3 linked regions of the Alligator mississippiensis genome follow. The protein of the gene in region 1 interacts with the protein of each later gene in a pairwise test. Links are inferred from orthologs where the notes say so. Each region holds a gene or a part of one and is shown on either strand. Other genes may lie near its edges.

The links.
Region 2: the proteins of NUDT18 (region 1) and DHPS interact in binary tests that used the Homo sapiens proteins (3 or more experiments, as listed by UniProt). The two-hybrid records come from large-scale screens. The link is inferred for Alligator mississippiensis from reciprocal best matches to the Homo sapiens genes NUDT18 and DHPS.
Region 3: the proteins of NUDT18 (region 1) and RAB3IL1 interact in binary tests that used the Homo sapiens proteins (3 or more experiments, as listed by UniProt). The two-hybrid records come from large-scale screens. The link is inferred for Alligator mississippiensis from reciprocal best matches to the Homo sapiens genes NUDT18 and RAB3IL1.

The regions. Positions count from the first base shown.
Region 1 is NC_081830.1:18,804,241-18,813,742, reverse strand, and holds NUDT18 (8-oxo-dGDP phosphatase NUDT18), read left to right. Parts: upstream 1-5,227; 5' UTR 5,228-5,445; coding exon 5,446-5,586; intron 5,587-6,038; coding exon 6,039-6,252; intron 6,253-6,584; coding exon 6,585-7,189; 3' UTR 7,190-7,197; intron 7,198-7,502; 3' UTR 7,503-7,866; downstream 7,867-9,502. Other genes in the region: actin filament-associated protein 1-like 2, read left to right, coding at 1,036-1,062. UniProt on the Homo sapiens protein: Mediates the hydrolysis of oxidized nucleoside diphosphate derivatives. Hydrolyzes 8-oxo-7,8-dihydroguanine (8-oxo-Gua)-containing deoxyribo- and ribonucleoside diphosphates to the monophosphates. Hydrolyzes 8-oxo-dGDP and 8-oxo-GDP with the same efficiencies.
Region 2 is NC_081831.1:22,865,504-22,875,505, forward strand, and holds the start of DHPS (deoxyhypusine synthase), read left to right. Parts: upstream 1-6,078; 5' UTR 6,079-6,183; coding exon 6,184-6,363; intron 6,364-6,666; coding exon 6,667-6,861; intron 6,862-7,235; coding exon 7,236-7,406; intron 7,407-8,238; coding exon 8,239-8,360; intron 8,361-8,728; coding exon 8,729-8,825; intron 8,826-9,100; coding exon 9,101-9,187; intron 9,188-9,476; coding exon 9,477-9,582; intron 9,583-9,799; coding exon 9,800-9,903; intron 9,904-10,002. UniProt on the Homo sapiens protein: Catalyzes the NAD-dependent oxidative cleavage of spermidine and the subsequent transfer of the butylamine moiety of spermidine to the epsilon-amino group of a critical lysine residue of the eIF-5A precursor protein to form the intermediate deoxyhypusine residue.
Region 3 is NC_081825.1:179,117,755-179,127,437, reverse strand, and holds the start of RAB3IL1 (guanine nucleotide exchange factor for Rab-3A), read left to right. Parts: upstream 1-5,425; 5' UTR 5,426-5,683; coding exon 5,684-5,916; intron 5,917-8,276; exon of another isoform or gene 8,277-8,380; coding exon of another isoform or gene 8,381-8,391; intron 8,392-9,301; exon of another isoform or gene 9,302-9,329; coding exon of another isoform or gene 9,330-9,382; intron 9,383-9,683. UniProt on the Homo sapiens protein: Guanine nucleotide exchange factor (GEF) which may activate RAB3A, a GTPase that regulates synaptic vesicle exocytosis. Promotes the exchange of GDP to GTP, converting inactive GDP-bound Rab proteins into their active GTP-bound form.

The sequences.
Region 1 (9,502 bases):
TGATGGATGCTGGCCATTGTCAGGGACTGTTTGAGCTAACTCCTAGACCCCTAACTGGAGCTGAGCATCCACCTACAGCCAGCCACTTACCTGACCAGTAGTGCCCTCCCTCTGCTGCCCAGGGTCTGCTGGCTTTGAACTTGTGTGCCTTCTCTTTTCCTAGTCCAGTGATCCTCTACCACGGTGCTGCAGCACCCTGTTACGCCCTCAGATCCTTTCAAGGGTGCCACTATACAGTGTTAGCACCACTGGACATGCAAACATGATTCACAAGCTAAACCCTGAGATTTCAAATAGTCAGCCTTAGTGTTAAAACCGTTTTGTCCTGCTGTGGTCTTTGTTGAGTTCCTTGCAGTGGAAGAATTGCTCTAGTATTTTGCTGCAGGGTGAAGGTGAGTGAAAAGTAAGAGCTAGTATTTTCTGAGTGTGGAAAGGTTGGGAGGCACTGTACTAGTCTTTTGGAGTGCAGTGGCAGAAGAGCTCACCCACTGAGAGCCATAACAAGATCTGTTAATTCAGGCCTTGCTCTGGACTCATGCCAAAGGCAAACAAATTGAGCATCTGATGTCTTTAAATACCTTCCCTGGGGGACACAAGCAGAATAACGCCTGAATTGCAACCATGCTGTTATGGTCCAGTGGAAGGGGGCAAAGGCACTTGTGGGCAGTTAAGTGTGTTTGAGCCCATTAACTGTGCATTTCCCATGTTTCCATTTCTTTTAAATGTAACTTGAACTTGGACTCTATGGGCTCTCGTTGCTTGCTTTGAGGAGAATTGCAAGTGCCACGTAGGGCTGCCTGCCCTCCCATCACAGCAACTGAAATTTAACTTAGTTTTTATCAGGAAACTCCATAAAGCATAGAAAAGGTTGCACTGGAATAACAGATGAGCTCATTGCCCAGCTGCTATCCATTCTTGGGCCATGGACAGCTGCTCCTCTTGCCAAAAACATACCCCATGGTGCAGTATGGAGCTGGGGATCTCCTTCCTGACCCCACCCATGGACAATAATCATGCTCTGTTTGCTTCTTTCAGGAATGGGAGATGAAGTCTGCCATGTAGCCGGCTCCTTTGGCTGCACGCGTACCCCTGCTCACAGGACACCTTGCTGTGTACATACATATCAGTCCAGGCATCTTTCTGCTGTTCCTGCTGCGTGTGGATCACGCTGGATGGATTTTATACCTGTTTTCATTACACACTGTGGTGATCGGTGTGAATGACGACGCCTTTCTATTTGGAAATCGTCTGTGGGTTTTTATCTCTGGTCTGCAGTGGCACTAAAACTGGGCAGGCCAGGGCTGTGCTGGGGAAGACACATAGGTCCTTCTGAACATCTTGGGCCTCAACTTTTCATGGCAGCAGATCCATCTGGGATCATGTCCCAGTGGGTGGCTCTCCTCCAGCTTGCATTTCTCTGAGCCTCCAGATGTGCTGCAGATGCTGGAGACACAGGCTTTTCCCTGCATTAAGGGGAACCTACTGTGGCTTAAGGTGGCACCAGCTGGAGCCTAAGGAGCTAGCCCTCTCTCATGCCTCCTTACACATGGGGGAAAAGCTTCAGCACTGGAGTCCAGAGACACTGTTAGACCCTAAGGGACATGGAGCTGCTCAGGAGAGGCTCTGAGCTGTTTGGCTCTGTGTTCTTGAGTCCTCTGAAGTCTCTTACAAGGTGTCCCTGCTTCTCATTCATCTCACAGGGCCTATCAAAGATAACAGACAGCCCAGCTTTTAGCCCAGTAGAGCTGTATCTAGGTGACATGATACAGATCTCAGCTGGCACCTTGCCCGCTGTGCAGCTGGGCAAGGTGAGCGGCCAAGTGGGGATGCTGGCTACGTCCCCAGAGGTCTAAAGGATGGGGGAGGTTCCTAGTACTTCCCCCAAGCACGCTGCCTGTGTTCAGTTGCTCTTGTGAGCCTGCGTTCTGGGGCTCAAAAGTGAGCAGAGGCTCTGCTTGGAGTAGATGCATTCATTTCTTTGGAGGAATCCAGCTCACGTCCCAGTGACACTCACTTTCCACCTTCTCCAGTTGCAAACTCAAGCCCTGGGAATCCGGTGATCTAACCCAGTTAACATGACAGCAGCCGCAGCTTCACAGCTTGAGCACGGGGCAGGCAAATGGGGACATGAAAGCTTTCAGTGCCGCCTCAAGGGAGTGACCCCCCTTCTCTGGGCCTCAAGCGCTTTCCTTGTGCTCCGGGCATTGACCTGCAAAAATCAGCTTGACAGGCGGGTTTGAACTGAATGCTCTCCCAGGCTTCAGCTCTCAGGTGCTGGGTGAATCACCAAGGGTTTCAGTGCCAGGTCTTAGCTCCTAGTCAGGAACTCAGGGTTTGCCTTCCCTTGCACTATTGAGCTTAGCAGGACTGTGTCAGCATTTGAACCTGGGATCCTTCAAAGCCTGGGCCTTTGCACCCTGTGTGCCGGGCTCCATAGCTGGGGTTGTAACAGGCCTGCAGGGAGGGAGACCTGGGTACAGAGTGAGAGCTGTGCTGTCCACCTGGGCCAAGCCAGTCATTGCAAGATCAGGATGTAAGCACCTGGCGGTCTCCAGGAGTGAAATCAATTCCACCAGCTCCTTGTGCGGTGCACTTCAGCCACCATGGGGGGAACGGGTGCTTGTTTCGAAGCACTGCTCCCGCTGGGTTGGTGTTTGAATGGGAGAAATGTGTTTTCCCATGAATGTAAAAAAACTTGCTTCTGCCTAGTTGCAGTTGGAGACAAAGGTGTCAGTGTCCCCAAGAAGGTCCTTTCTGTAACTTGTCACCCAGAGCAATTCAGGGGGGCAATGGGGGCGTGTTTATGTGTGTGTGTGTGTTTTTCAATTTCTACCAATTATGCTGTCAAATAAACATATTTTTGCTTTTTTTTTAACCCTGTCAATCTTGTGATGTGGAAGGGGAGGTTTCTAAGTCTCCTTCCTGCCTCCCCTGGGTAGGGGTACAGGAAGCCATGTGTGGGGGTGCCTGGGATGGGGGTGGTGCTGGTGCCACCAAGAATAGGAGTGTGGGTTGAGCCCCCACGTTCTCCCTGGAGCAGCATGACTGCTGTACATGGGGATGGCTGCAATGCCAGCTGTGTAGCTGAACCCCCCCCCCGATCAATAATGTGTTTGGTGGGGTAGGAGTGAAACTGTAACAGCAGGTAAGTTTTTAAAAATGCTCATGCTCCCTAGGCTGAGACCTTGGCTTAACTATAGGGGAATGCTAGATCTACGTCACCCAGAAATACCACTGCGTGCACTTCAGCCTTAAACACGTAAAGCCATCTGAAAGACGCAGGGGTGCCATCTCTACCACATCTCAGCTTCCAGTCTGCTGTAGGATTTCCAGGTACGCTGTGAAGAAGCATCCAAAATGCTTGGTGTGCTCTGCTGAGCCCAATAAGGGAAACCCTTGTAAGGAAGCCCTGGACTAACCATTAGCTAGCGACAGGAGGCAGCATCATGATAGTAGAACAACGCTGGCCTAGTCAAAGAGCAAAAAAATCAATGTTTCTCCCACTGGAGCCTAAAGTTCAGCTCAAATATCTGTGTTTAGGCATTTCAATAAAGTAGATAGGATTGAAGGATTGACAGAGGTGCTTCTAACACTAATTGGCACAGCGTGCTCCCCTTACACCCACACCGGATAACAGGGCAAAACGAACTCCAGACCCGATAGTGGCCTGTTGGTTCCCTTGTTATGAGCACGGTGAGGTGCATAAGCCCCATCAGTTCCTGGCACCTTTCAGCCCTGCCACCTCCCTGGTCACTCAGTTATGCTCCGTTTAGCTGCCGCGTGGCATTGCGTGGAGGCCCTGTACTCCGTGGCTGAGTGGGTGCAGGGGTCAGGGGTGCATTTCGTTCAGGCTTTCTACAGTCAGTGCAATCAAGCTACAGGAGAGGGCAGACCCTGCAGGGCAGGATGGCAAGGAGGTACGTGAAGGAAAGGCCAGTGTGGGCACCCTCCAGCTGCTGTCCGGTGCTGCGTGGATGCCAGCTTCCCATGGGGAAAAGCAATCAGGCTGATGAGGGCCCTGCAGAGGCTGGCACCAGGAGCCTCCATGCAGGCTGCTGTGAGCAGAGGGGTGGTGGGTCCCACTCACACCATGCTCCGGCTGCAGCGATGCCAGGACAGGCACCGGATGCCCCCACGAGAGAAGGAGACAGGCCGTGGGGGTTGCAGCTCCTGACCCCAAAGGGAGGAGCTATGAGTGTCCTGATAGGAGCCCTCAAGCCTTGCCTACACCTAGCACTGCCCCTGTACCCCTTCAGATGCACCTGGGCACCTGGCACTGCTCCTATTAACCCCTGGGATGCCCCCGAGCCACTGACACTGCCTCTATTAACCCTTAAGATGCTGCAGGACCGCTAGCATTGCTCCTATGACCCCTTGAAATGTCCCCAGTGCCCTATTAACCCTTGAGATGCCCCAGGGCTACTCTCACTGCCTCTATAAACCATTAAGATGCCCCAGGGACACTTGCACTGCCTCTATTAACCCTTAAGATGCCATAGGGCCACTGGTGCTGCCCCATAACCCCTTGACATATCCCCGGGATCCCTTGCACTGCCCCTATGACCCCTTGAGATGCCCCTAGGGTCCCTGGCATCTTAGAGACCCCAAATAGGGGCTATTCCACAGCCCCTATTAGCTCCTGAGGTGCCCCTGGGCCACTGGAATTGCCCCCATTAACCCTCAAGATGCTGCAGGACCACTGGCACTACCCCTATGACCTCTTGAGATGCCCCCGGGGCCCCTGGCACTGCCCCTATTAACCCCTGAGATGCCCCAGGACTACTGTCACTGACTCCATTAACCCTTAAGATGCCCCAGGGCCACTTGCTCTGCCCCTAGGACCCCCCACCCCGAGTGCTGCCAAGGGCACTGGGGGCATCTCAAGGGGTCATAAGGGCAGTGCTAGTGGTCCTGCAGCATCTTAAGGGTTAATAGAGGCAGTGCCAGTGGCTCTGGGGCATCCCAGGGGTTAAGTGCCTCTTAACCACTAGCACTGTCCCACGTTTCCTCCTCCTGCCCCCCCGCAGCAGATGCCTCAGGATCTGCCCCTATGAACCCCTGAGATGCCTCAGGACCACTGCCACCACTAGCCCCTGTTGAGAGGATCCCCACGCTCAGGTGCGGGGTCGCGGCCCCTTTAAGAAACATCTGCAGTCGCTGAGGGCTGAATGAAAATGGGGATGGCCAATGGGAGGCGAGCGTGGCATCCCAGCCAGCCAATGGGAGTAGGGCGCGGAGGTCTCTTCCGTGAGTCTGCTCCAGCTGGGGTGAGTGTGCGTGGGGGGCAGGACAGGGATCAGGACCAAGGGCAGGGGCTCCCCAAGCTCCCCCTTCCCCAGCCCTGCTGCACCTGCCCAGCTCCAGCCCCTGCCTGCCTGGCTTGCTGTGACCCAGGTCCCTGTCCAGCTGCCGTGCCCCCCCTTGACCCCCCAGACCGAGGCTGTCATGGAGGAGCTGGACGCGGTGCTGGCAGGGAGAGGATGGGCCGTGCAGGAGAGGTACGACTCTGCGCCAGAGCCCGCTCAGCCCGTGCGGCTGCGGAGGAACGCCTGCTACATCGTGCTGGCGCTCCTGTTCAATGACCAGGTGAGGCGGGCTCTGCGTTTGGGAAGGGGCAGAGGGTGCGTGTGCTGTGGGTGCCCCGCGTCCTGGCAGGGGGAGCCTGTGCAGAACAGAAAGCACGCAGCTCCCTCCTGCCCTCCGAGCATGGGCTGCTGCAAATCCACCCCCCGGACCTGCTGTGCCGCCTTTTTGTTGACGTCTGAAAAAAAGCGAGACTGAAGATGAGAGACTTTGCAGTCTGGGGAGCGGCCTCAGGCTGCGCGGCCCGCTGCAGATGCCTCCAGAAGAGCAGGGGGGGTCGGCTTACTCAAGGAAACCTCTCATAGCTCCCCATTCAGCAAGCTGATCCCTCGAATCTGGGCTAGAGATGGAGACAGTGAGGGGAAGGGCCTGACTTGGCCCCTTTCCAAATTTGTACTGGTCCCAGAATGCCAGTGACTCCTTGACCATGACTTGTGATTCTTCCTCCCTCCCAGAACGAGGTGCTGATGATGCAGGAAGCCAAGGCCGAGTGCCATGGGATGTGGTACCTGCCTGCTGGGAGGATGGAGCCCAACGAGACCATTGTGGAGGCCATGAGGAGGGAGGTGAAAGAGGAGACGGGGCTGGAGTGCGATCCCCTCACCCTTCTGGCAGTGGAGGAGAGGGGCCCTGCCTGGATCCGCTTTGTCTTCCTTGCTGAGCCGACAGGTGAGTCCCCTTGCCCTGCAGCCAGCGGGACGGGAGGGTTACAGTACTGTGCCAGCTGGAGGTGGTCAAGAAGCTGAGAGCAGCCTTGTGGGCAGCTGGCATAGCAGTGCCCACAAGGCTGGAAGAGCCAGGGGAAGCATGGAAGAAGGAGCAATATTGGTTTCAGAGCTGAACCAGACCTGAGGGCTTCTGGGCAAGGGAGGGCTCCGTCTTGGCTTTGGCCTTGGCCCTGGCATACGTAGCAGGGAGGATAGGGCAAGCCTTCAGCTATGCTAAAAATACAGGGCCCCGAGCGCAGCACCGTCAGAGCCTGTTCTTATCCCTTCATCCAGGTGGGAGCCTGAAGACGCTGCAGGAAGCTGACGCTGAGTCTCTACAAGCCCGGTGGTGGGATCGCGAGTCTCCCACCCTGCCCTTGCGTGCGCCGGACATCCTACCCCTTCTGGACCTGGCTGCACGGTACCGAACCCGCCCATCCCATCCACCCACCTTGCCAGCAGAAATGCCCTGCACCCAGATCTGCCAGCGGCTCCTGGCAGCCTTCACCAACAGCACCGGGGACTTGTGGGTGCTGATGAGCACAGCAGGGGCCCTGCACCTGCCGGTGATGGCCTGCAGCACAACCCCAACAGAAATGCGCCGGGGCCTGCGGGCGTCAGCAGCCCGGCTGCTCTGCGAGTGCGTATTGCTGGGCCCAGTGACTGTGACAGCCCAGGGGGTCCTGGGCCTGCAGCACCTGGGCAAGGAGGCAGGGAAGGCTGATGGCGTCTGCTTCAACGTGCTGCTGACGGTGGGGCACAGTGACCAGAGCACCCAGGATACTCCACCGGAGCTGCGTGACCAGAGCTTCCAGTGGTGGCGGGTGAAGGAGGGACCTCTCAGGAGCAAGATTTTGCAGCGCCTCAGCTCTGTGGCTGTTGTTGCTCTCTGCAGCTGATGACAAGGGTGAGCTGTGCTTGGGAAAGCCTCCCAGCATGAACCTCCGATCCTCCGGTTGTTGCTGCTGGGGAGCCTGGGATCCAGGCCCATGCATCAAATTGGGGGCAGAGCTGGGATAGAGCGCAGGGGCTCCTGCTGCTCTGGCAGGAGGGTGAACCCTGTTGGGAGGCCAGGGGTGACTGGTGCCAGTAGAAAGCCCAGCAGGAGCCTGGACTAAGGGCCGTGTGATGGCCCCATCCATGAGGTGGGGGCTGACCCTACCCCGCTGGGCTGAGCTGGTGTTTGAACGCTGCCTTTCCTTTCTCCCCCAGGTTTGGCTGAAGCTCAGAGCCCGCAGCATGCAGTGAGCCCCGCACGGCTCACCTGGAAAGAAAGACATCTGGGCCACCGCAGCAGGGAGGACCCGTGGCTTTCCCGTGGGGCACGTCCTCACCAGTCACAGCCCGCAAAACCTTCCCTGCCCCGTGCCAGAAGGAGTGGGTGCTTCTCGTGTCTGGCCTAGAGGGAGCAGGGGCTGCCATCTGCCTGTGCCACCCTCGAGGGGCTGAACCTGAAGCGATCATGCCGGAGGACTGTGTGCTTCTCTAGACCTGGCTCTGGGGTTTCAAGAGCTGCCCCAAGCATCTGTGTCTTGGCTAGAGTGTGGGAATAAAAAGGAGCACTTGGGAAAGTTTAGAGGTTAGTCTTACTGCTGGCTGGCTTGGGGAAACCCTCCCCCAGCAAATGGTTTCCAGCTGGCTGGTTTCAGGGAGACCACACTCTTCCCCACCCCAAGGCTTGGGGCTGGCTGGCATGGGAGCCCAACACCCCTGCAAGCTTGTGGCCAGCTGTCTTGGACAGATTATGGTCCAGGTGCTGGTATTGGAGGGGCTTTCTGGCACAAAATTGCATTGTGCAGGGCCCGTACTTGCCATCAGCTCTAGCAGGCTTCACCAACAGAGCTGGGGACTTTTAGGAGCTCGTGAGCACTGGTGGGGAATTCACCAGGAGGGTTTCAGCCCATCCCAATCCCAAGGTTTGTGGCTAGCTGGCTGGCTGGGGGAGGGGAGGCAGATAGCCAGCTAGCTAACTTAAGGGGAGAAAGAGTCCCCTGGCTGGATGGCTGGCCTGCGGGGCAAACTGACCCCCTCCCATGTCCCGTCTTGTTGCTGCCTGGATGGCTGGTTTGGTGCAGAATTATGGTCGAGGTGGTATCAGAGGTTTTCTGGCATCTAATTGCATTGGACTAGCTGTCTGGGCTCTCGCTCACTGTTCAGGGGTTCCTGAGCTGGCTGGCTGGGGAACTATTGGGCTCCCAGGTTGATGGACAAGCTTGGGAGGTTTTGTGTAGCATTATTTCCTTGCTGGCTGAATGGGGCCTCAGGCAGCTGTCTAAGCTGGTGTTTGAGGTGGGGGAAGAAGGAGCCCATGAGCAAGGATGGTTGTGTTGCCCTTTGCTGGCTTGGGGGCTGCCTCTGGGTCTGGGATGTCTCCTTTGGGTTCAAGCAGAAGGTGGTCAAGGTGTATTAAAGAGGTTTGGACTTTCTTATATGTTTTTTCTCAACCCTGTCAATTGTGGGACCATATACCTGGTTGACTGGGGCAGGAGCATGGGGCTGTTGGACTAGCTTTTCCCTTTGGCTTTGAGAGAGGCTGATGTAGCTCTACCTGCTCGCTAGCTGCTATGATGATTTTTGTGTGCCTCTAATTCATGGCGGTAGTTACTCGGAGAAGGAGGAGAGAGCAGCCAGCTTGTGGGGCTACTACAAGCCAAGGGAAGGGCAAGTGAAGTCCCTTTCATATATGTAACCTGGTGTCTGCAAGGCAAAGGGTCTGATGACCTATGGGGAGTTATGGCAAGCCCTGGCAATGTAGTTTCAGAAACAGGTCAAGAAGCTGCGTGGGAGGGTTTAGATAGGAATGATCCTGCCTCAGGCAAGGAGCTGGATTTAATGGCCTCCAGGTGTCTGATTCGGCCACATGTTCTTATGCCGATCACGCTCCCTCGGCTCTGCCTTCCTCAACAAGCAGGGAGTTGAAGGCTGCTACCTGAAGCCAGGCAGCAACACAAGGTAGCTGTATGGGAGGTCAAGCACTAGTCTTTTGAGAGGAGCTTCCCCCTTCCTCAGCCCTGAATGAGTCCGAGACTGTACTGGAATTGACTGGCCTGCCCTCCCTTCATGTCCTGACTTCATATCCACATAGTTCAGCCTAAATTGCCACGCATGAATGAAAGAAGGAGATTCCCTACCTGCTATCTAGGGGAATGAGCTTGGTTCGCATGCTTGGTGTATCTGGTACTCCCTGGTGCTGCTGACCAGAACAGCCTGAA
Region 2 (10,002 bases), on another chromosome or scaffold:
ATTGAAGGGGACCGGAGGCTTGGGAGAGAAAAAGATAACCCAGATCCCGGTGTCCCCTGACGAGCCTCTGGTTAAAATGCAACTAGGGGACAGAGAAGAATTGGTAGAATTTCTTGTCGATACAGGTGCTACTCATTCCGTCTTAACTCAAAAACTGAAACCTTTAAGTAAAAAGACTGTGCCGGTGGTAGGGGTCACAGGGAAGGCAGTAACACGGCCCTTCCTACAGCCAGTGGCCTGCAATCTTGGGCAGGCCGAAGTCACCCATCAATTCTTGTATATGCCAGACTGCCCCGTTCCCCTTTTAGGGAGAGACCTCCTCTGTAAACTGCAAGCTATGTTGTCATTTCAGGATGGGCAAATGTTCCTAACGGTGCCTCCTGAAAAGGGGTGGCACCTGCAGGCCTGCCTTCTCGGCCTTCTCCGAGAGGAAAGTACACTGGATATTCCTCAACCCCTGCTCGATGCTGTTGTTCCATGGGTATGGGCAGGTCACCGACCCGGGAAGGCTAAAAATGCTGACCCTGTAAAGATTCAACTTTTGCCAGGGGACCAGCCTCCGTGCGTGAAACAATATCCAATGTGGATGGAAGCCAGGAAAGGACTGAAGCCATTAGTTGAACGGTTCCTGGAGTATGGCCTTCTCCGTGAATGCACATCAGCTTTTAACACACCCATCTTGCCCGTGAAGAAGCCTAAGAGTGACGAATATCGTTTTGTTCAAGACCTGAGAGCTGTAAATAAAGTGGTCGTGAGTATACACCCGGTTGTCCCCAACCCATACACCCTGCTGTCTGCCTTGAACCCAGCTCATAACTGGTTCACGGTTATTGATTTAAAAGATGCTTTCTTCTGTATGCCGGTAGAGAGGCAATCTCAGGAAATATTTGCATTTGAATGGGAAGACCCAGATACTAGCATTAAGACTCAGTTTTGCTGGACTGTCTTACCCCAAGGGTTTAAAAACAGCCCAACCCTATTCGGCACTGCATTAAGCAAGGATTTACGTAGGCTAAAACTGCCACTGTCCTGTGCCCTTCTGCAATATGTGGATGACTTGCTTTTAACAGCCACCACTGAAGCAAGCTGCCTGGAGGGAACAATCTGCCTCCTTAATTTTCTGGGACAAGAAGGATACCGGGTGTCCAAAAGTAAGATGCAACCAATGTCCCAGAAGGTAACATATTTGGGATTTGAACTACACCCTGGTCAGAGAGCCCTGTTGCCTGAAAGAAAAGAAGCTATATGCCGGCTAGCAACCCCAAAAACAAAGAAGCAACTACGGGGCTTCTTAGGTACAGTAAGTTTTTGCAGGATTTGGATTCCAAATTTTGGGGTTATTGCAAAACCTCTGTATGGAGCTACACAAGGTGATGAAAAGGTGTTCGAATGGACTGAAGAGTGTGAGCAAGCATTCTGCCAGTTAAAGCAGGCTCTTATTGAAGCACCTGCCTTAGAACTACCCGACATGAGTAAGCCTTTTTCCCTTTTGGTGCATGACCAAAGGGGGTGGCCGTTGGAGTATTAACACAAAAATTAGGTAGCTGGCAGCGACCGGTGGCATATTTTTCTAAGCAATTAGACCTTATGTCATCCGGATGGCCTGCTTGTCTCCGGGCCATTGCTGCCACCTGTCTGCTAATACAAGAAGCTGAAAAGTTAACCCTAGGCCATGAAATGACTGTATATGTGCCTCACGCAGTGCTTACAGTCCTGGAGCAGAAAGGAGGGAACTAGTTAACTCCGGGACGAATGGCTCGATATCAGGCCATCCTCCTCAATAAGCCTGAAATAAAATTGGCCATTTCTCGCACTGTAAATCCAGCAACACTGTTGCCACCTATGGCTGACACACCGGATCTTGTACATGATTGCCTGCAAACATTGGAAGCTGTTTACTCCTCAAGACCAAACCTGAGAGACCGACCCCTTGACAATGCTGAACTGGAATTCTACATGGATGGCAGCTCGAGTATGGAGAATGGAATTCGAAAATCCGGATACGCTATCGTGACTACACAGAATGTGATAGAAGCAGGACCTTTAAACCCATCTGTTTCAGCTCAAAAGGCTGAACTCACTGCTATGACTCAGGCTTTGCAATTGGCAGCCAACAAAACTGTCAATATTTATACTGATTCTAAATATGTTTTCCTTGTTTTACATGCTTACGGAGCGCTGTGGAAAGAGCAGGGTCTACTTGATGCTAAAGGAGCAAGCATTAAGCATAGCAAGCAAATAAAAGCTCTCCTCAAGGCAGTCTGAGAACCGAAGGAGGTAGCAGTAATGCATTGTAAGGCACATCAGAAAGGGAACGACCCTTCCACAAAAGGTAATCAATTTCCTGACGCTATGGCAAAGAGAGCAGCTAAAAGACCTCAGACAGACTTGCTGCCCGAAGTAAGTAATCTGTTACCTCTCTTCCCAGACCTATACCAGCCTGTGACACCACAGTATGGGGAAAAAGACAAACAATTAATAAAAGAGTTTCAAGCAAAGAAGGGGGAGCACAGGTGGCTAGTAGCAAAGGATGGCCACATTATCATCCCAGCTGCCTGGGTTCATGTGGTAGTAAAGAGCGCTCATCATGACACCCACTACGGACCCAGGGCCCTGGTAAGATGGATCAGTCACTATGTAACTGGAGTAGGATTAAAAGAGGCTGCCAAGAAGGTATCAGAGACATGTGAGGTCTGCCAGAGAAATAACCCAAAAGGAGGGAAAAAAGAAACTCCAGGACATCAGAGAATAGGCAATGGGCCAGGAGAAGAATGGCAGGTGGATTTTACCGAGTTGCCCCGGCAACAAGGGATGAGATATCTCCTTGTCTTTGTGGACACTTTCTCTAATTGGGTTGAGTGCTTCCCATGTCGGACTGCCTAAGCCTGAGAGGTGGTCAAGGCGCTCCTACGAGAAATCATACCTCGCTTCAGACTTCCAAAAGGAATAGGGTCAGACAATGGCCCACATTTCATTGCACAAGTTACTCAGAAGGTTTCTGAGTTCCTGAGAATCAGCTGGCATTTACACACCCCTTGGAGACCCCAGTCCAGTGGAAAGGTGGAACGTATGAATCAGACCTTAAAAAGACACCTTGCAAAGATTTGCCAAGAAGCTCGACTCAAATGGCCAGAGGCCCTACCCTTGGCCCTGTTATGAGTAAGGGTCGCACCACATTCTAAATTGGGATTAAGTCCGTTTGAGATAATGTATGGTAAGCCTTACCCTCTGAGTCTGCCCATGGGTACTGAACAACAGTTACATGTTTTAGGAGAGGGAATGATTAGAGAATATGTATGGTCCTTGGTTTCTGTTTTGTCTTCCATCCACCAGCAGGTACGGGACGTGCTGCAGTCACAGGATTAATCTCCTGCCCCGGAAAACCGACTATTACCTGGGAGTTACGCCCTTGTGAAAGACTGGAATGAGGAACCACTTCGAGCCAGATGGAAGGGCCCATATAGGGTACTCTTGACGACCCCGACGGCAGCAAAGCTCGAGGGAATCAAGACTTGGATACATTCCAGTCGCCTAAAGCTGGTGGCTGGACCAGAACAAGAAGGAACCCCTGCAGACTCCGGGACTGGAGGCAGAGAACCGTGGAAGGTGGAGCCAATAAGAGACTTAAAATTCCTATTCAGAAGAAAGGAACTTTAAATAATTTGTCATTTTTTGATCAAGTTTTACAGCCCTTATCATGAAATTGGTCAAGGTTTTATTGTGGGGCGTCCTGATCTGTCCACTCCTTCTCATAAGAGGGGAAAACCTTTTACAACAAAAATTTGACCCTCAGGAAAATGTCTGGATTTATCTGGCCCGGGAAATTTTAAATAGAACAGACTTCTGCTTAGCAGGAGGGATCAATGCTCACCTGGTTTTTACCTCATGTTTAATCGCAGTACCAACCCCTTTGAAAATTTTACAAAATTATACTATGCTGAAAGATATAAATAAGGAAAGTACGTATCAGAATATATATAATTGGGGGACTATTGTAAAAGATAAAAGCAGAAACATGTTTTCCTTACGGGTTCAGGCAACAGCTAATGCTTCCGAATGTTTCCTAATGGTTAATTGTACTGGTAACTCCCTTAAATTGAACCAAGGTAAAAATGTCCTCTGTAATGAGACTGTGCGGGCCGGGAGCGATCCGGGCCCTTTTGTGCACGCGGGCTGTGGCCAGCAGCTTGGGCACACGGGGTCGGAGAAAGCCGGAGGCGAGCTAGAATTAGTCACGGACGCGTAATGGTTGATTCAAAGATTGTTTACTTACACCAAAGGTGGTCGTGGTGTAGGCTGGACAGTTTTCCAGGTACAGCTCCGCTTAAATCCTCGTTAGAGGACTACGACAAATTCGTTCTTTCCCACGGAGTTGTTGAAGCTCCGCGGGTTCGGTAGTTTCTCGTGCAGGAAGGGATACGTCTAGGAATCTATTGGCGATGGGGAGAGGCCAGAGGCTGTTCAGTCCTCTGTTGCCTTTTAAGAAATGCGTTGAGTCCGTAAGGATCCGCAGCGCTTAGAGATCTTCACGCAAGGCGAAGGTTTCTCTCTCACTCTAATTTCTCTCCAACTTGGGCGGAAACCACCCAAGCTCTTTATACGGCTAGCAAGCCAATCGCTAGCCGCCACGTGTGCATATTTTAGAACTGGCCAATAATGTGGCTCGAATTTTCATACAAATGGCGGGAACTCCTTGCACCGAGCATTTCTTAGATGCAAAAAGAAATGCACCATGCAAAGAAAGCTTCAAATTGGCGGGAAATTCTCCGTTGCACCGGGGTTCTCTTCTGCAGCAGAAAACTCCACCGTGCAAAGAAGCTGCAATTTAGCGGGAAAATAATTTAGCAGTGCCGAAGCGCACACAAACAAAAAATCACAACTTTGGGTTGTGACAGAGACCAGTCAAATATCCAATACTTACCTGTTTTTATATCTATCTTCAGGCCTAAGGTAAATCAAATGATTTTACAAACAAAGAAAGCTGATGATACTAGATTTGTGTTAAACCAAATTGAATGGAGCAATTATAATAATAATTAAAAATGCTCCAAAGGGGGGAAATGTAAGGAGGGACCTAGAAACCTCTACTCAGAGATGATAAGAAGAAGAGAATGCTATGTGAAAAATGCCCATCTGCAATGATAAGGAGGAGACAGTCTCGGATAAAGGGGACTTGAAAGCAAAAGAAGAAACAGTTCTGGGTTAAAGGGCTCATTAAAATACTAAAAATCACACCCCTAGGTGGGGAAAAAGTATGCTAATGAAACACACATGTATGTAAATGAGATACATGGCTAAAACACAGGTATAGAGACATGCTCAGTAAAGAACTTCTTGCGTCACTCACTTATAACCAATCTTCGTTTGATGATTGGTTATAAGTTATAAGCACACTTGCGAAGGCTTGAAAACTCCTGTATAAAAGATGCTTAGAAATAGTGATCTGGTGTGCTTGTTACGTGAATTATTCCGCTTGCACCTTTTATTGCTCGCAATAAACCTTCTTTGTACTTTCACCCCTGGTATCTTTATTGGCCTTTGCATACCGGGCATGATCCCAGACTTGAGCTGGGGCTCAACATCTCCACTCGCTTTGGCTCTCAGCTTTAGGCACAGGATCGTGGTGCTCTCTTGGGCGAGCTGCTGCGTCTGCTCAGAAACCCAGGCATCTGCTATAGCCCCTGGCGTCCCGCCCCGCTTAGGTGTTTGATGCTTTTGAAGCCTGCTGCGCCCTGCAACAGGCATGAGATCATGTTGGCACATGCAAATTTGGGGTGGTGGGGAGCGATTCAGGCTTGTTCTATTAAGCTGCACCCACCGGCGGGCGGGTGGAGCAGAGGGGCAAACCATGGTTTGGCATTTGGATGCTGCTTCCCAGACGCCTCCGCTTTCACTGGGGAGGGAACCCAAGCGCCCTGTCTCCCCTCACTGCAGCCGCTGAGCCGCAGTGAAGTTGGCACACGGCTTGGGAAAGCAGACGAGATAACGTTTGAGCCTTCAAGGATTCCGTACTCGCCTTGGGCTCGAAAATGGCGGCGCCCAAGAGTGTACGGCCGCAGGCAGGGCAAGATGGTGGCGCCTCGGCGTATGGCGCCTGGGTGTACGGACGCTCTTCCCTGCGCAGCCCTGCAGGACCCTGTGCGAATGCCGTAGCCGGCTCGGGGAAGATGATGGTACTTACGCATGCTGCACTGCGGAAGGATGGAAAGCCAAAATGGCGTTATCCAGCCGTACGGACACTCCGCACGGCAGCGCACGCGTGACCCCTGCGGGGCTGGTACGGAGCAAAATGGCGGCGCCCAGCTATCCGGCAGTGCCACCTGTACGGGACTGAACCGAGATACGGGCCACGGGTCCGCCGAGGTACTCTGCACTGCCTCTCGGGGGCTGGGGTTGTAGGAGCGCTGGGGGGGGCATGTGAGTGTGGGGGGAGCGCTGGGGGCGAGTAGTTGAGTCTGCAGGGAGCGCTGGGGGTTGGGGCGAGTAGTTGAGTGCTGGGGGGTAATGCAGGGGGCTGGGAGAGGGGGTAGTTGGGGGGGCTGGGGGAAAGGGGGTGCCTGGGGCAGTAGTGCAGGGTGAGGGAGGCTTGAGAGGCTGAGGGTGCTTGAAGGACAGTTCAGGGGCAGTTTGGGGGCTGTGCACCCCTGATCTGTCTCCTTTCCCCAGGCCATGGAGGGGCTGCCAGCAGTGGCACTGACGGCGGTGCTGAAGCCCAGTGAGGCGCTGCCCCCTGAGAGCTTACCTGTGCGTGGCTACGATTTTGACCATGGCCTTGACCACCACGCCCTGCTCCGCTCCTTCCTCACCACAGGCTTCCAAGCCACCAGCTTTGGGCAAGCTGTGCGTGAGATCCACCGCATGGTGAGGGGGCCCCGGATGCCTGGGTTATGGTCCTCAGGTTGGGAAGGCAGAGAGGCCAGGTGAGGGTGGGGGGAAGGGTAGCAATTAGGACCAGCCCCCGGGGCTGGGAGGACAGAGAGGTTGGGGGGTTAGAGACGGCGGTGGAGGGGAGCCAGGAAGCCTGGGTTCTCTTCCAGCTCTGGGAGGGGAGCAGGGGATGCTGGGGGCCAGGATATTGGGTTCTCTTCTCTGCCACTGCTGGTGGCAGGTTACTGGGGGTGCCTCAGTTTCCCTACAGCCAGCTCCTTCTTGGGGCAGGGATGAAGGCAGTTGGGGTAATAGGTTAAGTCCTGTCCCCCAAAAGCCAAGCTGACCGGGGTCTCTTGCGTGTCCAGATCGATGCCAAGCTGGAGCCACTGGGGGAGGTAGCAGACGAGGAGAACCATGCAGACCTGAACCCCTGTCAGCGCCCACCCACGGGCTGCACCATCTTCCTGGGTTACACATCTAACCTCATCAGCTCTGGGATCCGTGAAACCATACGCTACCTGGTGCAGCACAACATGGTATGGCTCTGCATGCCCCTCACCCCAAACAATACAGTCTACCCCCCTTTTTCCACAATATGTGGTACAGCCCAGCGTTCCATTCTCTAAGGCACACTATGTGGTTCCGGCCCAATACCCTTCTTCAGTATAACGTGGCATAGTCTTTCCCAGGGGTCAGTAACCCCGGGCACGTGTGCCAAACATGGCATACAAGGCCATTTTGCTTGGCACACCACTGCCAGCCCAGGCTCTAAGCAGCTGTTGCCAGGCACAGAGCCCAGGCTGCTCCCAGCAGGTGGCTGAGAGGCTGCAAGCCCTGCTGCAAGCAGACTGGGCTCTGTGGGCCGGCTGCAGCTGGAAGGCTGCAACCAGCTGCTCTGGGTTCTGGCATGTCAGCACTCCAGTACCTTCCAAGGTAGATATTGTGTTTTTTTCAGCACTCTGGCCAAAAAACGTTGTCTATCCCTGGTCTATCTGCTCCCCTCCCACAACATGGTGTGGTCCAGCTCTATCCGTTCTTTAGCCTAACGTGGTATAGTCTAGCTCCCCCCACATGACATGACTCAATTCCCTCCTCCCCTGCAGCAGTTCAAGCCATGGCCCAGCCCCCCCATAGAGACAATATGGTATGGCCCAGTTCACTCCCTCCCACCTGCAGTACAGTGTGGTATAGTCCAGTTCCCCTCCCCCAAATTTGATCCCCACCCCCCCAGCTTTGGGAATAACCCCAAAGACTTTAGAGAGGGGTCTCCCCCTATCCCAGCATAGGTGGAGGGGGCAGTGGCAGGGATCCCAGGGATCCTAGGGCTGGGGGCACCAGGGCCTGGGTTGATGGTGTGGGTGGGTGCAGGTGGACGTGCTGGTGACAACGGCAGGGGGCGTGGAGGAGGACCTCATCAAGTGCCTGGCGCCCACCTACATCGGGGACTTCAGCCTGCGTGGGAAAGAGCTTCGACAGAGCGGGATCAACAGGTGGGGGGGGCCTCTGGTAGACGGATGTTCTCCCTACTTCTGGAGAGGGGTGGGGTTTGGGGGGGATGAAGTAGATGTAACCTGGACACCTGGGTCCTCTGGGAGGGGAAGGGGATGGGTCTGGTGGGAGCCCAGATGCCTGGGTTCTCTCCCCAGCTCTGAGGGATGGTGGGATTTAAGGGGCTTAGAGCAGAAGGAACCCAGACACTTGGGTTCTCTTCCTAGGTCAAGGTTGGGGAAGGGATCTGGCGGGTCAGAGCAGGAGGGGAGCGGATGCTCGGGGTCTCTAGCAAGGGAGGGAGGCAGGGAGCTGGGACATGTAGGTTCTCTGGCTGGACAGGGACTGAGCTGTGGCCATGTCCCTGCAGGATTGGGAACCTGCTGGTACCCAATGACAACTACTGCAAGTTTGAGGACTGGCTCATGCCCATCCTGGATCAGATGGTGGCTGAACAAGACACTGAGGTGTGAGGGCAGGGCAAGGACAGCTGGGTTCTCTCTGGGTGAGGAGGGGGACACTGGTAGTAGGAGCAGGATGCCTGGGTGTGGCTTGGGGAGGGGAGTTGTGTGGGCTAGAGCTGGAGGGGGTTGGAAGCCTGGACACCTGGGTTCTCTCAGTGGGTTTTCCTGTCTGAGGACTCCTGGGAACTTTCCCCTCCCCACCAAGTGTCTGAGCCCTGGGGCAGCTGAGCTGGGGGGGCAGCCCCCCTGGTGACAGTGGGTGTGGCCGTCTCCCACAGAGCGTCAAGTGGACGCCATCCAAGATGATCGCGCGGCTCGGCAAGGAGATCAACAACCCTGAGTCGGTCTATTACTGGGCCCAGAAGGTATGGAGGGGCGGCTGGGCTGGTAGGGAGAGCAGGGCAAAGTAGGGGAACATCCCCCACCCTGACAAGCAGCACAGCCCAGCCCTGCCCTGCCCAGCTTTTGGGGGAGATAAGAGCCCAGGGTTAGAGGTTGACCTCTAACTCCCAGGCAGGGTTTGGGTTCAGCCTGGCTGCCAGGACTCCTGGATGTCCTTCCTGGCTTTTCCGTGGAATTGCTCCTTGAGCTGACACTGCGGGGCAAGGGGGTTTCCCCCCTCCAGCCCTGATGCCACCCCTCCCTCACCCCCAGAACAACATCCCGGTGCTGAGCCCGGCACTGACAGATGGCTCACTGGGAGACATGATCTTCTTCCACTCCTACAAGAAGCCAGGGCTGGTGCTGGACATCGTGGAAGGTGAGGCCAGGCCCCACAGGGCTGGGGGGGTAGGGGTGATCCTGCCCCCTATGGCTGCCTCCCCTCCAGCCCCCTGGGATATGGCAACCTTTCCTGGCAGCATCTTGCCTGCTGCAGGGAGCTTGGATGCCTGGGTTCTTCCAGCTCTGGGAGGGGAGTAGGGCTGCCTGGGTTCCCCACGCTGCCTGTCTCCTCTCCTCTCTCTCTCCCCGGACAGACCTACGGCTCATTAATACCCAGGCTATGTTCGCCAAGAAGACGGGGATGATCATTCTGGGTGGGGGCCTGGTCAAACATCACATTGCCAATGCCAACCTCATGGTGAGAAGGAGTGGGGGAGAGAAGGTTCTGTTGCCCATGGTGATGGGGAGGTCACGGGGCCTGTTAGGTTTGGGATGAACCCCCCTCCCCTCCCTGCCT
Region 3 (9,683 bases), on another chromosome or scaffold:
AGGTGCTCCAATGGTCGCAACAGCCTTGGGACTGACCTGACCTGACCTGACATTGTGTTCAAGCTGGGTTTACTATTGGGATCAGAGCTAACAAGGACCATTTTAAAAAAGGATACAGATGCTGGATTGGGCTTTATGAAAACTCCCAGACTGCTCCCTGTTCGTGAGCTTCATGGAAAGCCCTGAGCTCAAGTCACTTTCAGTGGAGTCTCTCAGAGAGGGGCTGGGCAACAGGACCTGGTTTATGATTCCCCCACCAACTCTCACAGCACTTATGAGTTCTGTGTTATAATCTTTTGCCGCATTTGTTTTCCCAGTCTAGGAAGTGGGGGGAGCTATCTGCTTTAGCAGAGAAGACAGAGGTCTGATTTTTCCCCTGATCTTCTTTTCCCTTGCTTTAGCTGTCATCTGAACTTTTTCCTGGCAGTTCCCATGGCTCCACTCTCATCCATTCCCCCTAGAAATGTTGTCTTGAGTTTCAGGTTTGCACAAAGGTAAAACGGGAAGGACTGAACTTGTGATTGAGATGGGAGATGGGGACTCAGGGGTCCTGAGTTCAGTTCATGTCTCCATCTTAGACTCCTTGTGCAACCCAAGGCAAGTGAGTTTTTTTTATTCCCAATCTGTAAAAAGGGCCTAATAATCCCCTTTACAGGGTGTTTAAGGCCAAGAGAAGCCATTAGTTCAGTAGGCTGCACCATTTCCCAAACTACTAGATTGATTGGCTCTGAATGTCCTGACCTCCATTGTACTACAGGCCATTCTGCTCACTCACGTCCCTCTGTATGGAGACCAGCAGCTTGTGTCATACTTCCAGCATAAGCAGAACCTTTGTTCTCTCTCTCAGGGCTTGTCTGGATCCAGGAAAATGTCTGGAATGCTAAATTGTCATCTACTTGCTAAATATAGTCATCTACACTGATTCTGTATGTGGACACTGGAAGCATAAAGAGCAGGGTTTGCACCCTGGGCAAACCCTGCCAGGGGGAGAGGCAGAGGAAAAGGGGGAGAAGGTGCTGTTGAATGCTGCAGGGGTTCCAGGGGTGGGAATATTAGCTATGCTGAGGACTTAAAAACAGTCCTCAGCTGCTGTTTCCACAGTGTGGTCTGCCTTTTCCCAATGTCATTCTTATAGCAGCAGTGCAGTGTTGGTGCACCTGGCTGTTGCTTCAAGCAGCAAGCCTTGGGGCTACTTCTCCTGTCAGGCACAGACCCCACAGGGTGGGGGATGATTCTGGTGCCCCCACTAAGTTGGCACCCAGGGCTGGTGCCCCATTCACTCTCACCAAGTTACGCTACTGGTGGACACTCATTCCATGCTGAGAGTGTCCTTGTGCAGGTTAGCTCCGTCCACTTGGGAACAAGAGAACTCATGTGGCATAGCTGCCTGGCTCAAAATTCACACCTAGCAATAACTTCCCTACGTGGACAAGCTCTCCTTCTCTTTGTGTGCTTCTTTCCAAGTCCCATACTTTCTGTTTATCACTCTTGTTTCCTCAGCTGTTTTCCTTCGGGTGCTAAGACCCATGTGAAAAGACAGTGACTGGAACAGCATTCTTTACAGATCACTGAGAATGCAGGGTCAGATCCTTCTTCTATAACAGGGGTCAGCAACCCCCAGCACGTGTGCTGAGCATGGCACACAAGGCCATTTTGCTCGGCACACCACCGCCAGCCTGGGCTCTAAGCAGCTGCTGCCAGCCATGGAGCCCAGGCTGCTCCCAGCAGGAGGCTGCAAGGCTGCAAGCCCTGCTGCAAGCAGACCGGGCTCTGTGGGCTGGCTGCAGCCAGGAGGCTGCAAACAGCTGCTCCGGGCTCCGGCATGTTGGTACTCCGGCACCTTCCAAGGTAGACATTGTGGGGTTTTTGGCACTCCAGCCAAAAAACATTGCCTGCTCCTGTTCTATAACATGCCATCATCTTAGCCTTAAGACTAAACCACAAAAAAGAGCAGGAGGAGGACCGACCAACCTCCTGCATTCATTATTTTTCATGGATTGAAGTGGGGTGAAATAGGATCACACTTGGACACCTAAGTCCTCTTAGATGCCTAAGAGGTAGAAAAGGATCTGGCCCTTAGGCACCTAAGTCCATGTAGGCATAGTAAGTTGAACAGGCTCTGTCTCATAGTCATCAGAGAGGAAAGGGTTACAGCAACAAAAGCTTAGGCCTGTGTTATCTCACCTACAGCTTAGCATTTCCCTCAAGATTAGGTAGCTCCCAGTTATCTTAGCTGCCCTCATGCTTCTGGGAACCATAATACAACCTCTTCCTCTGCACACCCTCCTCCAACTCTCCCAGCCTCAAAGAAGTGGGTTTTAATAGCTGCCATTTTCACTAAGGGCACCCTGTTCTGAGTGCCCCCACCCTCAACCTTAGGTTTACAAGCTGGCTTTCCAACCAGTGCCTGATGGGGATAAGCCTACAAAGGAACTGACACCTTCGTTGCTCAGTATCAGTGATTGGGGCTAACTCTACCCATTGTCTGTATTTCTGCAAACCAGCCAGGACTGAATTAACTCTCTGTACCCAGTCTGCAAAGAAACAGAGGCCCATATTGTCTGGCTAAAACAATAACACACTGGCATCTCCCACCTTCTGCTTGGCTAAGGCATCTCCTCCAGAAAGGCATCAAGGCAAACTTACCGCTTCCTTTCCTTCGTTGTCTTTCTTTCCTATTCAAACTGTGAGCTCTGGGGCCAGGACTGTCTCTGATGATATATTTGTACAGTGTCTAGCCCAGTTTCCCTCACTGGGATTTCTAGCTGCTGCTGCAGAAAAGCTTCAGGCCCACTGGACAAACCCAGGGTAAAAGATATTCTTCTAGACATGGGGCATTATGATACACTGGATGCGTCTACACGAGCCGCCCACTGCGCAGTTGTTACTGTGCAGTCATTTAGTACTGGCATAACCAAGTATTCAATGATTATGCAGCAACTGGCATTTCTGCACAGTAGTGTCGTGTCACGGTTTATGTCCGGCGATGGTACTGTGCAGTAGAAACAAGCTACTGCACAGTAAGCATCTCATATAAACGTGCCCACTGAGACCAAAGCTATTCTGACTCTGCAAATGCTAGAGCAGCACTGAGAAGAGCATCCCACCCGTGTGAGCCTACCCAGTCCAGGCCAAAGCCTGGAAGTTAGACTGTGTACCCAGTCAGAAGGGTCGCGAGTACCTGGGGAATCTTAATATGTGCAGAGCAGTGCTGCATAGGCCATGTCTGAATTCTTTTCTTGGTGGTCCTCCTGGCCTCACTACAGAGGAAATGCAGACAGGCATTAAGTGATCTGCCTGAGGTCATACAGGAGCCTGTGGCAGAGCTGGAGAACCAAATCTTAATCCTTTACAATGCAAATCTGTGCCTTGATCAGAAATACTACCTTCCTCTTCTCCTGCTGTGTTTGTATCTGAAGTTGAAGGCCAAACAAGTGTTTTAGGGGAGCTTGGGAGCAGGAGAACCACAGGCTTGGGCACTGAGATAGGTTCAGACAGAGGTTACAGAGAAGGAATGTGGGAGACAGTGCAGCTCCTCCATTGCTAAAAGCAGAGGGGAGCTCTTCCTTTTTTTTAGACCAGCCCCTGCTGCTCCCCCTCTTCTTTTAGTCTGCTTCAGTCTTTGTGTTCACACTGTCCCCTGCAAAATAACAGCAGGGCTCCAAGCAGGAGAACTCAGTTCCCTCCCCTGGAGCTGCTGTGCAGTTGCTGAGCTGGCAGAAAGCACTGGCTCACTGGTAGGTCTCTTTTCAGTGCCAGGGCCCAGGCAGTTTCAGGCCAACATCTGCATTATTCGTGTGGCACTTGTGTCCCAACTACGCCGCCTCCTGTTCTTCCTGCAGCTCCACTGGGATTGAGCTTTTGCTGTTGGACAGTCTCTGTGCCTCATACCAGATCTGCTCTTTCATCTGGATACACTGAAGGGGGCTGCAGCTGTTTTTTTTATTGTTCTGGCAAAAGCGGCTTCCTTATGACTGCCTCCACTCCAGCCTCCCATTTCTGCTGAAATCTGAGATCCCAGATCCAGAGATCCCAAAGGAATTCCCACTAAAAATGTTCCAGCCAGTTGTGCAAACATTCCACACAGCTGGCTGAGGCAGGGAGGGAGGGGGAGTGAGTGGGCGGCAGGAGCCTGGATTTCCAACTTCTTGTTTTCATTCTCTTATTTTCATGGCAGTAACATCCTGTCTGGGTTGGCTGATTCTGGGGTGGAGACCAGCTCCTAGCCTAGGTCCCTCAGCTTAAGGATCCCTTCCCTGGGGTTTCTGCTTCTTGTCTAGGTCCTGCCAAGCCTGAGGTGGAAGGATGAGGCTGAGCCAGGAATAGTAGGATCCATTCTGAAAAGTCAGAGCTGGGCTGGATGATGGTGCCCTGGAGCTGCATGGTCTGGCTAGTGCTGGGCAGTACATCCTGGCTCAGACAGCTGCTGTTGCTACCAAGGGCAGAATTGCACCTTGTTTACAACAAATGCTGGATTCTGGGTCACTCTGCAATTATGCGGTGCCTGGGGGCAGGGGAGTATGTGCATATGCATCAGTAGGGTGCATGGGAAGGGGAAGAGAGAGAGAGGTAGAGCCTGAGAGTCAGCGTGGATATTATTGTCTTAAGGTCTGCAATCCAGGATGCAAGGAACTGAACTAAAAAGAAAACTGAGGTCTCTTCTTTTTGTCTGAGGTTCCTCTAGTTGCCTGGTGTATATATATCAGCAGAATGCCATAGGTGACCCCCCAGCCTGTCCTGTGGGGAAGTCAGTCCACACTGCTCAGGCCCCAGGTGCACCCTGTTGTCAGAGAAGGAAGAGCTGTACCTGGAGCTTAGGTATGAGTCTGGTGATGCTGCCCACAAGAGAAGGATTGTGGCCTGTTCCTATGTCCTGCTTGACCTTTGCTAGTATGGTAGAAGGGATTGGAGGGGAGGAGAGGGAACGAGGTGTCAGTGCAAGGAGCAGGAAAGTGGACGTGGGAGTTTTAGTAAGAAAACGATTGGACACAGCAGGCCTGGGCAAAGCTGCCGAGAAAAAGACAAATAAGGAGCCATACTGTCAGCAGAGGCTTGCTTCTAACTGCTTCAGATGGGCTACAGTATGAGACTACTCAAAGGCAGTGGCTGAGGGACGAAGACCAGGATTCAAAGCCTAGGAGTGTTCATATGAGACCTGGCAATTTTTGCCCTTCACTGCCGGTTCCTAACTGTTCCTTCAACTTCACACTTGGAGGCGGGGCACAAAGGCAACTAGCTCCAGCATCTGTCTCTAAGAGCAGAATATCTGGAGAGGTCAATTTTTTCACCCTCCCTGCCCTGTCTGTTTTAGTTGCTTCCTCCCCCTCAGCCTTCTCTTTCTTCTTGCACTTGGTGTGTTCTTGGAAGAGTTCTCCCTTCCAGTCCTGAGATTCCTCAGTGGTTACGAGACCAGCCTTGGGAGTTAATAATTACATGGAGCAATGAGTTAATGTGTTGCTTTGCGAAGCTAAGGATACTTTCCCCGACTCCCTGATGCTTCTTGGAGGTAGCAAAGGTTAGGGCCACGGTGTCGCAAAAGAGGAGACAGGCAGGACTTTGGGCCTCAGGGCAAAAGGGAGGCCTCCACTTTCCATGCCCCTCCTGTTGACCTGTTATTTGTTCCCAGAGGCCTGCATGGATCCTGAAGGTGTAGTGGAACGACTGACCCACACCTGTGGATGACATGGACTCCTGTGAGTGGCTCTACTGTAAGATACCCTCAGTCACCGCATTACGTCACCAGCTGTGCTTCGCCATGGATGCAGGGACCACTGTGTACAATCTATCTGCTTTTGATTACCCATCTGGAGCTAAAGCAAGGGAAGGGACAGCAGAGACCTGGAATGCCGGTGTTCTCATGTGTGAATGTCCTGTCGAGGCATCACAGGATGGAGAGGGGCCCTCGGCTGTAGGAAGGTAGGAAGAAGTTGGTTAAGACCTAAGATGTAAGGGTTTTGAACTGCATCAGGGAAGGGCATGGTGCTTTGGTTTGGTCTGAGGTGGAGCTGAGGGGTGAAAAAGGGTAAGGGGCTGATGGTCAGCATTCATTGCAGGGGCTGGGGCAGTGCGTGAGGAAGGGAAAGGTCATGCACTGATAGTCTAGCTTCTCAAAATCTTAATCCTAGTACCTCCTTTTTCAGTGATCCTGACACAGGTAGCTGGCACTGTAACTCAGCTGCTTTGTCTCTGTTTTTTGTACTTTACTGCATCTTTAAATTCCAGATTTTCCCATTCAGAGGATGAAGTCCTTTTCAGTGGTGGGAGGGATGTGCTGGAGTCAGGGAAATGGGGGTGGGCAATGGGGAAAGAAGTTGCAGTTGTTGGTGCCAATTTAAATCCCAGCCATACATTATGACCCCCAGCTGGGCTGCTTGGCGTTCTGCTTGTCCAAAACTGCTTCTCCTGTTCCAACAGCAGAATAAAGGGCATATCAGCTCCTGCGGATCTCAGCTATAGGGGCAAGTCTTTTTGTTAAGTCCAGCAGTGCAAACCCCAAGCCTTCAGACATTATGAATCAGGACCTCTCAAATCAGGGGACTGGCTTAAAATCATGAAACTCTTTTTTAAAGATAAAAATAAACTTCCTTTCCTTTCCATTCTGTTCCATTTTGCCTTCTTGTCTCCTTGTCTCTAAGCTCTTGGTGTGCTTTAACTTCACCTTCTTAAGCTTTTCTTTGCAATCATGGGGGTTAGAAACTTGAATCTTATCTATTTTTTTTTTTTTTTAATTGAAGTCCCCTGCAGTCACTTGATTCCAACCACTGGAGCTTTTTGAGAAACAGCCACTCTCACAACTCTTGCATTAGGCTGATAGAATTGACCACCGTGCCTGCCTTCCCCTGAGAAATCGATGTGCTGGCCTCTAGCTCCACACGTCTGTTTCCATATGCCTATTTGCAGGGGTTTGGAAGACGGTCTTGTGACTCAGCATTGGGCTAAGATTCAGGAGAGCTGAGATAAATTCCTGGCTCTGCCACAGTCTCTGTGTGTGACCTTGAGTACATCACAAAATCTTTGTGCCTCAGTTCCCCATCTCTAAAATGAGGGTGCTTGCAAGCTTTCCTTTTTCAGCAGGAGATGTTGCTTACTCTGTGTGCGGGCTTAACAAAACAGGTCCTGATCTCAGTGGTGTTTCACCAGAGGGCATCTGAATTGCACTAACAACAACCGCAACATACAGGCAGGATCCCCATAGTACCAAGGCACTGAGTACTTGTAATAAAACTAACATAAATCAAACAGGGTCTCCCCCACAAAGGTTAAATACAACATGGGCTCCCAAGTGGTGGGAGTTGACACCTAGAATATGGACCCTAGCCAAGCTGGCCATGTACTTGACCAGAAAGGAGGGTCTGGCCGGCATGAATGCCTCATGCCTGCCGAGGCTGGGGGGACGTGGCGCGGCCCTGGGGGTGGGAGTGCGGTGGCAGGGAGCGGGGAGTTCCCACAGGCACTGATGTTGGCGGCTAGGGTGGGCTGAGTGGGGGCCACCCACAGGCCACTGCAGCAGTGTTGGTGCAGGGGAGGAGTGGCGAGCACTGACTGGCAGTTGGCAACCACCTGCAGATGCCACTGGCAGTATCACCGGCAAGGGGAGGGTGGCAAGCGGTGACCACTGGCAGGCATCACTGGCACCATTGGCGGCATCCGGTGTCAGGGGGTGCACTGCCAGTCTCAGAGGCACCCCCTACATGTCACCACTGCTGGCCGGGTGGGTCTGCAGGGCCACTTTCCTCTCCTTGCTCCATTCCCGTGTCGAAGCTGGGCAGCGTCTGCTGGCTCCTTGGCACTGCCCGCGGCCTGCTGCGCGCCGTGTCCCTGCTTGGCACGCTTCTTTTGAACCTCTGAGGCACTCCTCCCCTCCCTGTGTGTTTTTATCATTCTTTGTCCCACGGATTCTGCTGTCCCCTTTGCCTGTGGCCTCCCCGCCTAAGGGAGGCCAGTGAGCGACTTCCTGGGCTGGGTCCCCGCTTCCTTGTCAAGGTGGAGGAATCATTGGGGAACTTGGGGCGCCTAAGGCTTCCCCTGCCCTCGCGGGGGTGGGAGCCCCCTGACATCCTCAGGCGGGGGTCTTTACAGTGCTGCCAGGCCCTTGGGAGCCTGCCACCTCTCCCCCTGCTGCATGCGCACGCGGGCCCCGACTGGGAGCCCTCTGCTGGGACGGGGAAGGCCACCCCAGCCGGGGCACCCCGAGGAGCCGGCGGAGGCCGGGAGGGAGGAGCGGGGCATTGCATCCTGCAAGCGGAGCCTCCCCGAGGGCACGTGACCCGTTCCCCATCTCCCGGGCGGAGCCGGCGCCGGAGCGGGCCGGGCTGCAGCCCCGCGCTGCAGAGCCCCGCCGCCGCCGTCGCCGCTGCGCTTCAGGGGCTGCTGAGCCAGCATGTGGCGAGGGTAGGTCTGCAAGGCGTCCCCCTGCTGCGGGCGGAAACTTTCCTTTGCCCTCCCTGCCCCTGCCCTCGGCGGCTGCGGGAGGGCACTGAGGTGGGCCCCGCTCCACCGCACCCCGCGCAAACCCTTCCTCGCCCCTCACCCCCCGAGCATCATGCCCCTGGGGACAGCAGCTGGCAGAGCCGGGGCGCGAGGTCCTCTGCATTTCCCCGCTGTTCCCTGTGCCCGGCTCGCCTCGGCTTCCCAGAGAAGTTGCAGAGTCTCCCAACGGTGCCCTCTTCACTGGGATGGTTTAGGCAGGGGTGGTCCTGCCTTGAGCAGGGACTTGATGACCTTGTGAGGTGCCTTTCAACCTCACTTTCCTATGACCCCCTTCTCTTTTTCCCCTTTACTCTCTCCCCCCTCCAAGGCTGGAAGGGACCAGAGTTCAGGCAAGCAGTAGCCGGCGCTTTGCTGTGGCCCTGAGGAGAAAGCCAAGGGGCTCCTGGCAGATCCTACGGGATTCCCACCCTGGGAGGTCTGTCTGGTACCGGTCCTGGGGACTTGGCTCGCTCTAGTGTTGGCCTTGAGTGTCCATGCGCAGGCAGGACGTACTCCACGCCTGTGCTCCCCAATGGCTGGGGACAGCAGACCTGCTGGTGCTTTGGATGGGGGAGAGGCTGGTTGTGTTTTTCCATCAGGATGGGCTGCCTTTCGGGAAGAAAGGTGTCTTAACGCCTTCAGCTTCTTGTCCTTGGCTTTGAGCCCAGGGCCATGCTTTCTGCCTTATCTCCTCTAGCCCCTGTGTGTATGTAAAGAGATGGATGAGTGGTGGCAGAAACCTTTGTCTGGGGAAGGTGTCTGTTTTCCCCTGGCATTTGAGCTGTCCGGGACTAAAGCAGAGGTCTGGTCCGAGCAGCTGAGGAGGGAACAGGGAGTGACCTGCGGTTGGTTTCTGCAGTATGCACAAAGTTTCCAGAACCTCGCATCCAGGAGGCTGCATTTTTTTCCGGAGGTAACTGATATTATTGGCTATGTCTTTGAGGAGCAGCCCACTTCTGTCAAATGAGGTATGCAGTAGAGAGCAGGCGAAGGGGAGAGAGACCCTCTGAGCTGTTCCTTCTTGTTGTGCTTTGAGACCATGTTTGGTTCATCAGAGGTTTGTTCTCCTTCAGAAACCTCTCCTTAGCTGAAGGATGGGGCTGTATGAGAGGCAGGAACAGGGAAAAATGCCCTGGACTAAGAGGAAGCCACTTGCTCAAACAGAAGAAAGGGAGAAAGAAAAAAGACAGGGAAACCAGTGGAACAGAAGAACA